3 linked regions of the Drosophila melanogaster genome follow. The protein of the gene in region 1 interacts with the protein of each later gene in a pairwise test. Each region holds a gene or a part of one and is shown in the gene's direction. Other genes may lie near its edges.

Region 1 (4,591 bases):
AGCTCCTGTCGTCCCTTCCAGAGAGAATCAGAGAGACAGAGAGACTGAGCGAGGGAGATCGACCTGGGCTAATGATTGCCAGGGCGGCCAGCTTTTCGTATATTTCAGCTGGCCAAGTTCCGAGGTGGTACGAGTATTTGGCCAAAACAAGATTGATTTCCTGAAATCGAAACCTTGAGACGAGTTGCACAGCCAGAGACACGCAAGGGGCCCAGATCGCAGTGATAATGATTTCGAGAGCCAGTTTTTCTCGCTCTTTTTACGAACTCGGATTGGGGCTGTAGCCATATCATGGTCCAAGGTCCGCGTCCCCTTCAGCGAAATGCAAAAACAAATTGTTTGTGGGTCAGCGTGGCGCGGGGCAGGGCCTAAGAAGAGCAGGAGGATGCGGATGGTGATGGGGATGGGGTGGTGATGAGGGTGAGGATGAGCGGGCCATGGGGCGTTCCGTTGTTTCAAGGAATTCAAGGGAAACAGAAACAGAAAAAGGATGAGGATGAGGAGCCTGCCCGGAGGCGGGGAACGACCTCGTCTGGGGCTGCTTTGCTGTCTCTGCACTCCAGCTCCATCTTATTTTTCAGGAGACTACACACGGAAGCCTAATGCTGGCCATGTGATTTGTGATTTGAGATTTGTGCTTTTGGGCCTCGATCTGTTTCCCTGGAAAACGCGCCATTTCTAGCCTAAGTTCTGGCAATGACAAAGAGCTGGCCGCTGACTGGAGCAGCAGGAGGCACAAGCGGCATGCAGCAGCAGCGGCAGCAGCAGCAGCATGCTAATTTATGAAGTAGCAACTTGCAGCGACATGGATGCAGTAATTATAGCTTGGCAACTTGTTGCCAGCCTGGCCCAACTGCATGAATGGAAGAAAGCCAGCCCAGTTTGCTGTTTTCCATGCTAAACAGAAGCTGTTCTACTGCAGCAGCAGTGGCGGCGTCAGGTGAACGCGGACGTGGATGGGGATGTGGCTGTTTGTGGTGGATGTTGTACGTAAACGCGCCCACTCGGTTACTCCGATCGGCTGCAAAAAGCGCTCCAAACAGCTAAGACAAAAGTAGGAGTCCAGCCATGGAGTGCCGAAGTTCTTACTACTCTCTATCGACATAGTTCGAAGCCCATAATCTGCCAAATTGAAAATTCAGAAGATTAAACAATCAAAGAAATATATATTGCAACCATATTTGTGTATTTCGGTTATATTGTACACGCTTCTCATAAAAAGGCATATACCTCGGTTTCAGGGTATCAAAATAACTGGCTTAAAAAAAGCTAAAAAAAAAAGGTCCTACCCCGTGGCGTTTTGGCTTTTGATGGGTTGGCTCTGCTGACTGCTCGGCAGCGGCAACATGCGGCATGCAGCAACAGCATCAGCAACGGCAACATGGGGCAGCAGCAACATAGTTTACACACCTACCGATGCCGCAGTCGAAATGAAGTCGGAGAAGAAGTCGGGGGCTGGGCTCCGTCTGCCGAACCCTCTGGCCAGCAACATGCACTTAACTGGTAGCCACAATGCACTTTATAATACCCGGGAACATGGCTCTCATCTGTGGCGCGGAGTGGGTATCTGCCCCTCCTCGCAGTTTGATAGATGCGGCTGACTCGGACTCCCGGAGCGATCTACCAGGGGGCGTTGCTGCTGTGCTGCAGTGCAACATTGGAGGACAGAGTCGCAGTTGAAGCAGCCGAGTAGGAGAGTAGCATAGCAGCAGAAGCTGCACCGTTAGCTGGCTTGGCTTGTGAGCTTGGGCCTCATTTGCATCGGGCCATAAACTCGGTGGCCCAGTTCTCGACGGGCGAACCCGTATCCGAATCTGCATCCGACTGCGAGTGCGAATCCGATTGCGAGCCCAATTGAGACGAACTTTGAGCCGGCGCTAGGCAATGGCCTTGGATTAGTTAAATCCGTTCCGTTGCGACCCGCCTAATCCTTCCTTCCTGCAGGGCACCTCATTAGCCACACCACCACCCACCCAGGTAGGGGTAAGGTCAAGGGTTTCCGGGCTAAGGGCTCGGAAGGTGTTTTCGCCGTGTACCAAAATATAATTAGCGAGCCGGGCAAATCTCTTTTTAATGCCGTCCAGTCAGCGGGGGTGTTCCGATTGAAATTGGAGCGTAGCCGAAGGAAGTGTGAAAAGTCGATGCAGAATTTCCGAAAACTGAGCCCAGGACGCTGAAGCTGAGGTAGACGAGGCCGGGAATTAAAAGCGCAGCCGCCTCTCATCATCATCAGCATCATCCTTAGCAACGTCCGCAAAACACTCACGCACACAGGGAATTAAGTTGAGTTCTGGGTTCTGGATACTGGATTCTGGATTCTGGGCACCGAGGTTCCAGTTCTGAGCTCTAAGTTCCCAGTTTCAAGACATGAAAGATGCCGACCGATGCCGAGGATTTTCGATGTGGCGCCGGCCAGTGAGTATAAATCATATCACTCACACACAAAAGGCGTGGGAAGGGGTAAGCTGGTATACAGTCCCGCGACCGCAGTCTTTGTTAATTAATTGCCCAGCTCCAGAATAGACACCTTTTCAGGCTTCGAATTTTTTGAGCCCCGAAGTCACAGCAAACTTTGCATTTTTCGGAGGCGGAACCAAATTCAACAACATATTTGATAGATTTCAGAAAACCTACGATTCATAGGTTTCAAGGGGCCTTGCAGATCCATGTGGCTTCTCTTGCTCCTGCTGGGTCTGCCGATGGAAACAAACGAAGGAGAGGAGTGCAGAAATGGACTAACTCTCGGACGCCAGCAGTGCTACCTCCACGAGGAGATCTTTCTAGCCCACCACCCTTTGCAAAGTGTCACAGCCAAGAGGCTCAAGCTTCCCTGGTGGTGCGCCCTCCTAGAAAGCCTCTTCCTGCTCCTGCTGGTGAAGCTGCTCCAGTTGTAGATGAGCCAACATCTCTCTCTCTTTCTCTCTCTCTCCGTAATTGCCGCTGATGTAAGCGGACAGGTGGAGGCGACAAATGTCACACATGCTGCTCGTAAATCACATCGGAAACGGTTTTGCTCTTGCTGCACATGATAATTTGGCCAGGGTGGCTTGCTGGAGGTCTGGCCTATGTGCTTCTAATTAAATTGTTCAAAATGTTTTAAAGCGCGCTTTTGGGTCTGGCGCTGGAAAATCGCTGACAAATGCTTCCATCAAAACACAGAAAAAGTTTTCATTTTGTTTTGTCAATGTCCAGGCCACATAGCACTCAACGGTGGACGGGCACAGTGGGCTGCGATCTATGGAAATGGGAGCATATGGAAATATGGCATCACATGGTTTTGTGACAAATTATAAATATATATTTTACAAGAGGTGACTGTAGAGTAAATAAATACTAAATCAAATGATATTTTAGATATGATTTAATCCGTATCAATGATGAGTAGCCAACACTTTTCCCGTTCGAATAAAACGGAAACAAAACTACGGCTACGAGACAATTTAAAACGAATTAAAAGCGCAACCGTTTGAAACCTCCCGAACCCAAACAAACCGAACCGAAGGCATCCAATTGAAAATAGCAACAAGTTAATTTGGACAGCCCCTCCCCCGCCTACCTTCGCTCCTTTTGGTAAGTCATTAGAAAAAATGTCGAGTCGCGCAATTTGAATATTTCGATGGGCAATGTATGCGACTCCGACTCCGTCGGTTAATTTAAGGTGATAATTGCTTTTTAATGTGACACAACTAAATTTTTCCCATTTACATACTGCTCGTTGTTGTTGTCGTTGTGGTTGTACTGCTTGTTGTACCGGAAGTTTTTTGGGCCTGCGCATGTGCAGCCAAGAGGTCAAAGGGTAGGAGGAGGGGGCTGAAGGTGCGGGGCCAGACACTTGTTACGTCGCTGGGATAACAACGATGGCAACAACAACAGCAACGACAACTGCCGACGCCAGTACAATAATAAAGTGTCAACAATTATTTTCAAATTTCCAAACATTTCATTTCATTTTGGTTCGGTGCTAAGCTATTTGATGTTTTTTGGGGTTTTTGGTTGGTGCTTTGTGGCTGTTCCTTTCGAGTGACGCTGCTTAAAAGGTTTTCAAAGTGTGAAATTGGGATTGCCGCATCCCCTTCGTAGTTGAGCGGATTTCAGGGGTGGAAATATTCAGTAATGGGTTCAACGAGTCAAGTTGGAAGAGTTATCTAATACCCATGCACTCACTCATGTAATATAGTTAAATAAATTTCAAACTTTTAAAGTTCAAATAAATAAATTAAATCAAAAGGAGTTTTAAAACGAATTATGCGAATTAATGTTCTTAAGATGCCTTGCGATCGCGTTTTTTGCTTAAGTCTTTTGTTTTGAAATCGGCTTTTATTCGTATCAAATAGAACATCAGTTCTACCTAGATTGAATTTCAACTAATTGATTATTTTCACAATTATTATTATTATTATTATGGAGCTATTTATCTCCATTTTACTATCCCCAGAACAGTGAAGCCATATTCATTCCAAAGAGTGAAACCCCAATCGCAGTTCTTCGCCAGTGCAGCCAACCCGTTTCCACAACACCAACTTTTCCGGCCATTGTGATTCGATGGCTAATTGGCGCACTTGGCATCTGTGTCCCAGTCCCAGGAGGAAGC
Region 2 (3,191 bases), on another chromosome or scaffold:
TTTTGCAGCGGACCGATGGCTTGCCTTGCCTTTTCGATTTCCCACTCCCGCGCGGAAAACGCTCAAAACGGCGGATGCGCTCGCTTCCGATTAGTGGGAATGCTCGCGCACGCTTGTACAGGCACTCGGCATTGTGGCCAGCGGATTTTGGTCGCGATTTGTTTCCTTCTTGGTTGTAATTTGAAACAAATAAAATAGAAATCACGACTAAATAAATTGTGTGTACGTGTGAGCTAGCGATGGGCGATAGTTGCGTACCTGCTACTAGTCGCGATTATTTCACCGTGACAAGTCACCGCTTTGGCGGCATGTCACGACTCCATATTTTTCAAGTACAAAATTGACGTAGCACAGCAAATTTTAAACAATATGAATCAAGCATACCAATTGCATACTACTTTTATGAAATCCTGCAGCATACTTCCAAAATATTTATAAATAGCGCTCATTGTAACCCAGTGATTTCTTCACACCTTGTGTCACAGCCATCGTAGCCCAATGCATGCATGTGTGGGTGAATCGTGTCACCATATCGATACCGTGACTTTGTCCACCGCGCCGGGCCGGTCCCAACTATCGTATGTGCGTGGGTGGCCGGAGTCTGGCAACGCCCTTTGCTAATTTCAGGGTGGTCACACAATGCAAGGTGGTATATATGGAAATTAACAATTTTTTAAAATATATTGTGAAAACTAGTTTACATATTTTAAAGAGGTAATAAAACATTTGTTTTTAGAAGCATAACAAAATAGCTTATATAAGAAACCGTAATTTCGTCATTAAATATAATCTGTTACCTTTCGGTTTAGAAATTTTGAAATAATTTAAAAATAAGCCAATTCAAATTATTTTCATGTAATTTTTCAAAAACCGAAGGAATTCAACAAATCTGAACGCAAATATACGTTTATATGTATGGTGTCTATGTGCATAGTGGGGGGATTTATTTGTGTTCAGTTTGATTGTGTCGACAATTTTGAAGTTTTGTTTTCGGTTCCCTAATTTAATATGTACTTGGCGTATTGCGGCTCATACTTGTCGATGTAGTGCTGGACAAACCGACACCTTATAATAATGAAGTGCCCATTCAACAGTGCGTAGTCCAGTGCCGACTTGGCCAGTAGCTTCCCAATGCCATGTCCGCCCAGTTCCTCCGGGACGTTGGTGCTGTTGATGGTCATCACACCGTCCCTGATGGAGTATACCAATACAGCCCGGAGCTCGCCAATGTCGGTGTAGAACCGACCTCTCTTATGCCGGACAACAATGTGCGTACCAAAACATCTTTCCTGCGAATTTAGGTTTGGAACCTTTAAAATTTGACCAGTTAGGGTGTGGTTACTTGTGGGGATGGTGTAATCTCTCGAGCACAAGGAATACGTTCTTCGGCCACCTTGCAGAATCAGAATTGGAAGCAATTTGGAAAGCATTTCTTAATTTTTGTGAGTAGTTTCAGGAATTCGGGCCGAATAATCATACTTCACATCATAGTGACGATTTTCGAGTGACCAGCTTAAATTATTTAGTAAATAGTTCACACTAGCAACGCACCTGCGAGGTGAATTGATAAAGGATTGGGGATTAATCGCGGTGCATTTTTCCAGCTTATCTACAGCTACATAAGTATAATATCTAAATCAGTTCAAACATTGAAGATTATTTCCGAATCCCTTCTTACTGGCAATGTGACCGTACTCGCGCTTACTTATTTTGCTACCAGCCATCAGCTGTTGCTCGGCTATTGTTTTTGTTTTTGTTACTTGGATTGCTGGAGGCGTAGTTTTCTGCTTTTGATAATTACTCATAGCAAAAGCAGAGAAATGGCGCTGGTGGATCACGATTCCTGGGACATCGAGTACGAGGGCTGCGAGCGACTGCGGCATCAGCTGCTGGTATACCTCAACCAGCGGCAGCAGCTCAATCCGAGGACGAGCCAGTTCGTCCAACTGACAAGCAGCATTCAGACGGGAATAGAGCAGCTGGCCAAGGACATGAAGCACCTCAAGGTGGTGCTGGACAACGCCATCACCTGGGAGACGAGCCCGGAGGAGGAGCTGCAACAGCGGCGCATCGACTGGGATAGACTTACTTCGCAGCTGCGCGAGATCCGCGAGAAGTTCGCAAACAGTAGCCGCTCCAATGTCCCGGCCGCATCCGGTTCTGCTTGGCAGGATCAGGATCTCGGCCCAGGTCACAGCAATTCCTCGCGGAATACCGCCTTGGATGTGGAGGCTCTGAAGCAGAAAAAGACCGAGATGCTGGCGCAGCAGAACGAAGGACTCGAGGTTCTATCAGCCACATTGTCCAGACAGCGCCAACTGGCCACACAGCTGGGCAACGAGGTGGAGGACCAGAACAGTGGGTATTCCCCAGTCCCTGCACTACCAATGCTAATCCCTACCTCCTTGTAGATATCCTTGACAACTTGGCCAATGCCATGGACCGTGTGGAAACGGGTGTGCAGCGGGAAACACAGAGCATTGGACAGGTTAACCGGCGGGACAGTACCTGGGGCTACTGGCTCGTCATCATAGCCTTGTTCGTCGCCATCATTGTCGTGGTCTTCGTCTAGCTCCCACGATCCATTCCAGTTGTTATACTACTTTATACTATGACCTGCGTGGAATGTCTATCTGTTAACCCAAAGTTTGATTATTTATGTATACACCAATTAAAGTAGGATTTATAAGTATTTACGTTCGCGGATCGATCCCCTTGATCAGGTTTATTTAGTCGTTACATTACGGTTAACAGATGTACAGGTGTTTATATACTTAAGCCAAATCGGAGGCGTAGGGCACGTTCGCCAGGTGCCCGATGGCGCCGACGGCCAGCTTGGAGCTGCCCACCTTCTTGGCCGCCTCCTGGACCTGCGACTGCGAGATGCCATCGATTGCGCCAAGCAGGGCGTCCGCCTCCAGCACGTTCCGGGTGAGCGCCGCCTGGCGACCGATCTCCTTAATTAGACCACCGTCCGACGAGTAGCGCGAGATGATGCGCGCCTTCAGAAGAGCCTTGCCTCTGGCCACATCCTTATCAGACACCGAAGCCGACTTCAGGCCGCGCACCAGGAACTCCACGGTCTTGCCAATGTCCTTGGAGTCGGCGGAGACCACAAAACCGAACAGACCAGCGTCCGAGTAGCTGGCATTCACAGCCTTGACAGAGGCTCCGACGCCGCCGGCGCAGTT
Region 3 (2,802 bases), on another chromosome or scaffold:
TTGCGTTGAACACATCGGTTCTAAATGTGGCTGTTGTGCCATTAGTTACTCTTCTGTCTCTGTCTCGGTTTGAATCTCCATCTCGCTCTCTTCTTTTTAATTTTCCCGACTTGGTGCGCGGCAGTTGTAATAGAAGTTTTCCGGCTTCATGCACCTCCGCCCTTGCACCACCCCCTTTCGGCGACCATTGTGGTGGATTCAGTACACTCTTAAAAATAAGATGTTTAATAAACATATAGCAGGTGGAAGCCGAATGGAGCGATTTGCACCAAAACAAAGTAATAAAAACAAAATTTTCTTATTTTTTGCTTATTATTTCCTATCGAAATCTATATACCCCAAGCTGTGATTATTAGATTAAGCGTCTGCGATGAGGTAGCAAAATTCTAGCACTGCATTAACAGAGCTGATTTCTGATCAGGGGTTGAGGACCTTTAGCCTGATCTTTCTTCTTGTTAATTTGTTTTGCTTATTTTGGAGCTGATTAGCTATATACCGATTAAAAGCTTTTCAATTGCCACTAAAAAAAAAGTATAAGAAACGGCGAAGACTTTTTAGCGCTGCATTTAAATTCACAAGCTTAACAGTATTCTTTTAGGCTGAATTTGCTCTCAAAAAAAGTACAATTGGTTTGGAAAATTTTAAATGTTTTTGAATGTAACCAAACACAGCGAAAAAAAATACAAATAATATTTCTTTAAAAAAAAGGATGTAAAGAAATAAACTAGTCTTATTAGTTTAATAAATACAATTTTTTAAGACACATAATTTCTATGTTTTTATAGACGGTACTTGTGGAGTAATTGAGTATACCAAATTCTTTAAAAAGTCTGTGGGAGTTCGAAGAAGGCGTTGCCGAACCTTTACCTATACAGAATATATATATTCTTCACCAGCATCACCAGCGGAGTCTATCTAGCCGTATTCGTTTGGCCATCTGTCTGTAAGCCTGTCTGTATGAACTGAATGAGATTCAGACCTCTAAATAGTTCCAATTCTTTCAGAACCTGTGCCAACAACACTCTAGATTCTTCATTGATTTCATCTAGTCTTGTCTTGTAAATATCTTAGTTCTTCTATTAGCTAAGAAATGGGTATCTGATAATCGAGGAATGCGACTATAGTGGTCTAACCTGTTAAGCGCTAAAATTCAAAGACATAACATAATTATACGTATGTATAAAAAATTAATCCATGATTACAAGGATTTCATACTTAATTATCCCTCCTCATTTCGAAAGTCTAATGATAACCCAGAAAAGCAAACAAGAACATTTGTTGCCGTAACACGTTTGTGATGCGTGAAAACGGAACATAAATGATCTAAAGTAATCTCAAACAACGTCTTCTTCTAAGTCGCCCTTAGTTTTTCTTAGCAACTGTTGCGGACTTATTAGATTAGGCTCGACTTCCCAGATAAGATTGATGTTGAAGGGTTCCCCCCGTTGAGCATAGGCATTGATACAGTGCTCAAATATTAATTTCCCAGACGTCTGGAAATTTTTTTCGTATTTTTGTTGGGTTAATTGTACTTGATTTTGTCAGAACATTGATAATACTTCGGCGCGTGACGACATGATGAGATTGCAGGAGAGTATAAAAGATCGGAGGCGTCCAAAAATTTTATTCACATTAGCAAGACTAACCGAAGTATCAGCACCATGAAGTTTTTGGTACGTTTTACATATACGCTTCAAAGAAAAACCTTTAAGAACTAAGTTGATTTTAATATTGTTACAGATCCTCTTCATTGCCCTATTCGCCGCGGCCGCTGCCCTACCTCAGTTTGGATTCGGCGGTGGATTCGGTGATCAGCAGCAGCAGCAGCAAGGAGGATTTGGAGGTGGATTTGGTGATCAGCAGCAGCAGCAAGGAGGATTTGGCGGTGGATTCGGAGGTGGATTCGGTGATCAGCAGCAGCAGCAGCAAGGAGGATTTGGAGGTGGATTCGGAGGTGGATTCGGTGATCAGCAGCAGCAACAGCAACAAGGCTGGTAAAAACCAATTCATAGCACCGTCTTAACGCAGATACCTCAATAAAAATATGACACCTTTATGATAAAAAAACAATTGGAATTTTTTACTTTATCGTTCTCGAAAATTTATGAGTTTTATGAAAATAAATTTATATTTATTATTCATTTATATTTATTAAATAGTGCCCAGAAATAAATACACTTAACATAAGGGACAACGGGAAATATCTTCTCTTTCAGATGTTCAAATGGTTTTACTTAAAACATTGTAAATATAAATAAAAGCCAAAATATAAAAGCCATATTATAAATATAAGCCAAATTTTCACAAAAATTTTGTTTTTCTTTGAAATATGTAACGCAACTAAAAAGCGGATTCAACATGATTGAAAAAACAGATACAATTTCGAGTATCCTAATCAATGGCCTCCTCAGCAGCCACCCTTTTGTGCTCCTCGATCTGCACCTTGTCCAGATCGACTCCATCTTTTTTGGCTGCCCGTATCTCGCCTTCCCCCTCCGATCCGTCTAGCTGGTTGGTCTGCCAAACTCCTGTCCACGGCAGTGACATCACTGACATGACCTTGACCAGACTGCTATGGTTTTCCTGGTCTAGATCACTCTCCCCATTTCCTTCCCGTATTCGTCTGTCTCCATCCGGCAACTGCAACTCCTCGCAGCACAGCATGGAAATCAGCAAGTGCTCAACGAAGAGGGTTCGCCGCAGCCTTTGAGATTCGTCCGTATCGTGGCACTGCACTTTTTGCTGTGCAATCCACTGAAGTAGAACATATCTGTCGTCGTCGTGTTCGAATGGCCCCCCGGA

The links. Proteins that work in one complex are often made in the same cells at the same time.
Region 2: the proteins of CG42851 (region 1) and Syx8 interact in a two-hybrid assay, tested with the Drosophila melanogaster proteins (one large-scale study listed by BioGRID).
Region 3: the proteins of CG42851 (region 1) and CG31775 interact in a two-hybrid assay, tested with the Drosophila melanogaster proteins (one large-scale study listed by BioGRID).

The regions. Positions count from the first base shown.
Region 1 is NT_033778.4:24,806,763-24,811,353, forward strand, and holds CG42851 (uncharacterized protein), read left to right. Parts: upstream 1-2,562; 5' UTR 2,563-2,699; coding exon 2,700-2,894; 3' UTR 2,895-3,345; downstream 3,346-4,591.
Region 2 is NT_037436.4:16,585,608-16,588,798, reverse strand, and holds Syx8 (syntaxin 8), read left to right. Parts: upstream 1-1,741; 5' UTR 1,742-1,820; coding exon 1,821-2,358; intron 2,359-2,411; coding exon 2,412-2,572; 3' UTR 2,573-2,691; downstream 2,692-3,191. Other genes in the region: CG32163 (uncharacterized protein), read right to left, coding at 999-1,430; UQCR-C2 (Ubiquinol-cytochrome c reductase core protein 2), read right to left, coding at 2,775-3,191.
Region 3 is NT_033779.5:14,736,590-14,739,391, reverse strand, and holds CG31775 (uncharacterized protein), read left to right. Parts: upstream 1-1,622; 5' UTR 1,623-1,661; coding exon 1,662-1,673; intron 1,674-1,740; coding exon 1,741-1,998; 3' UTR 1,999-2,302; downstream 2,303-2,802. Other genes in the region: CG31835 (uncharacterized protein), read right to left, coding at 2,392-2,802.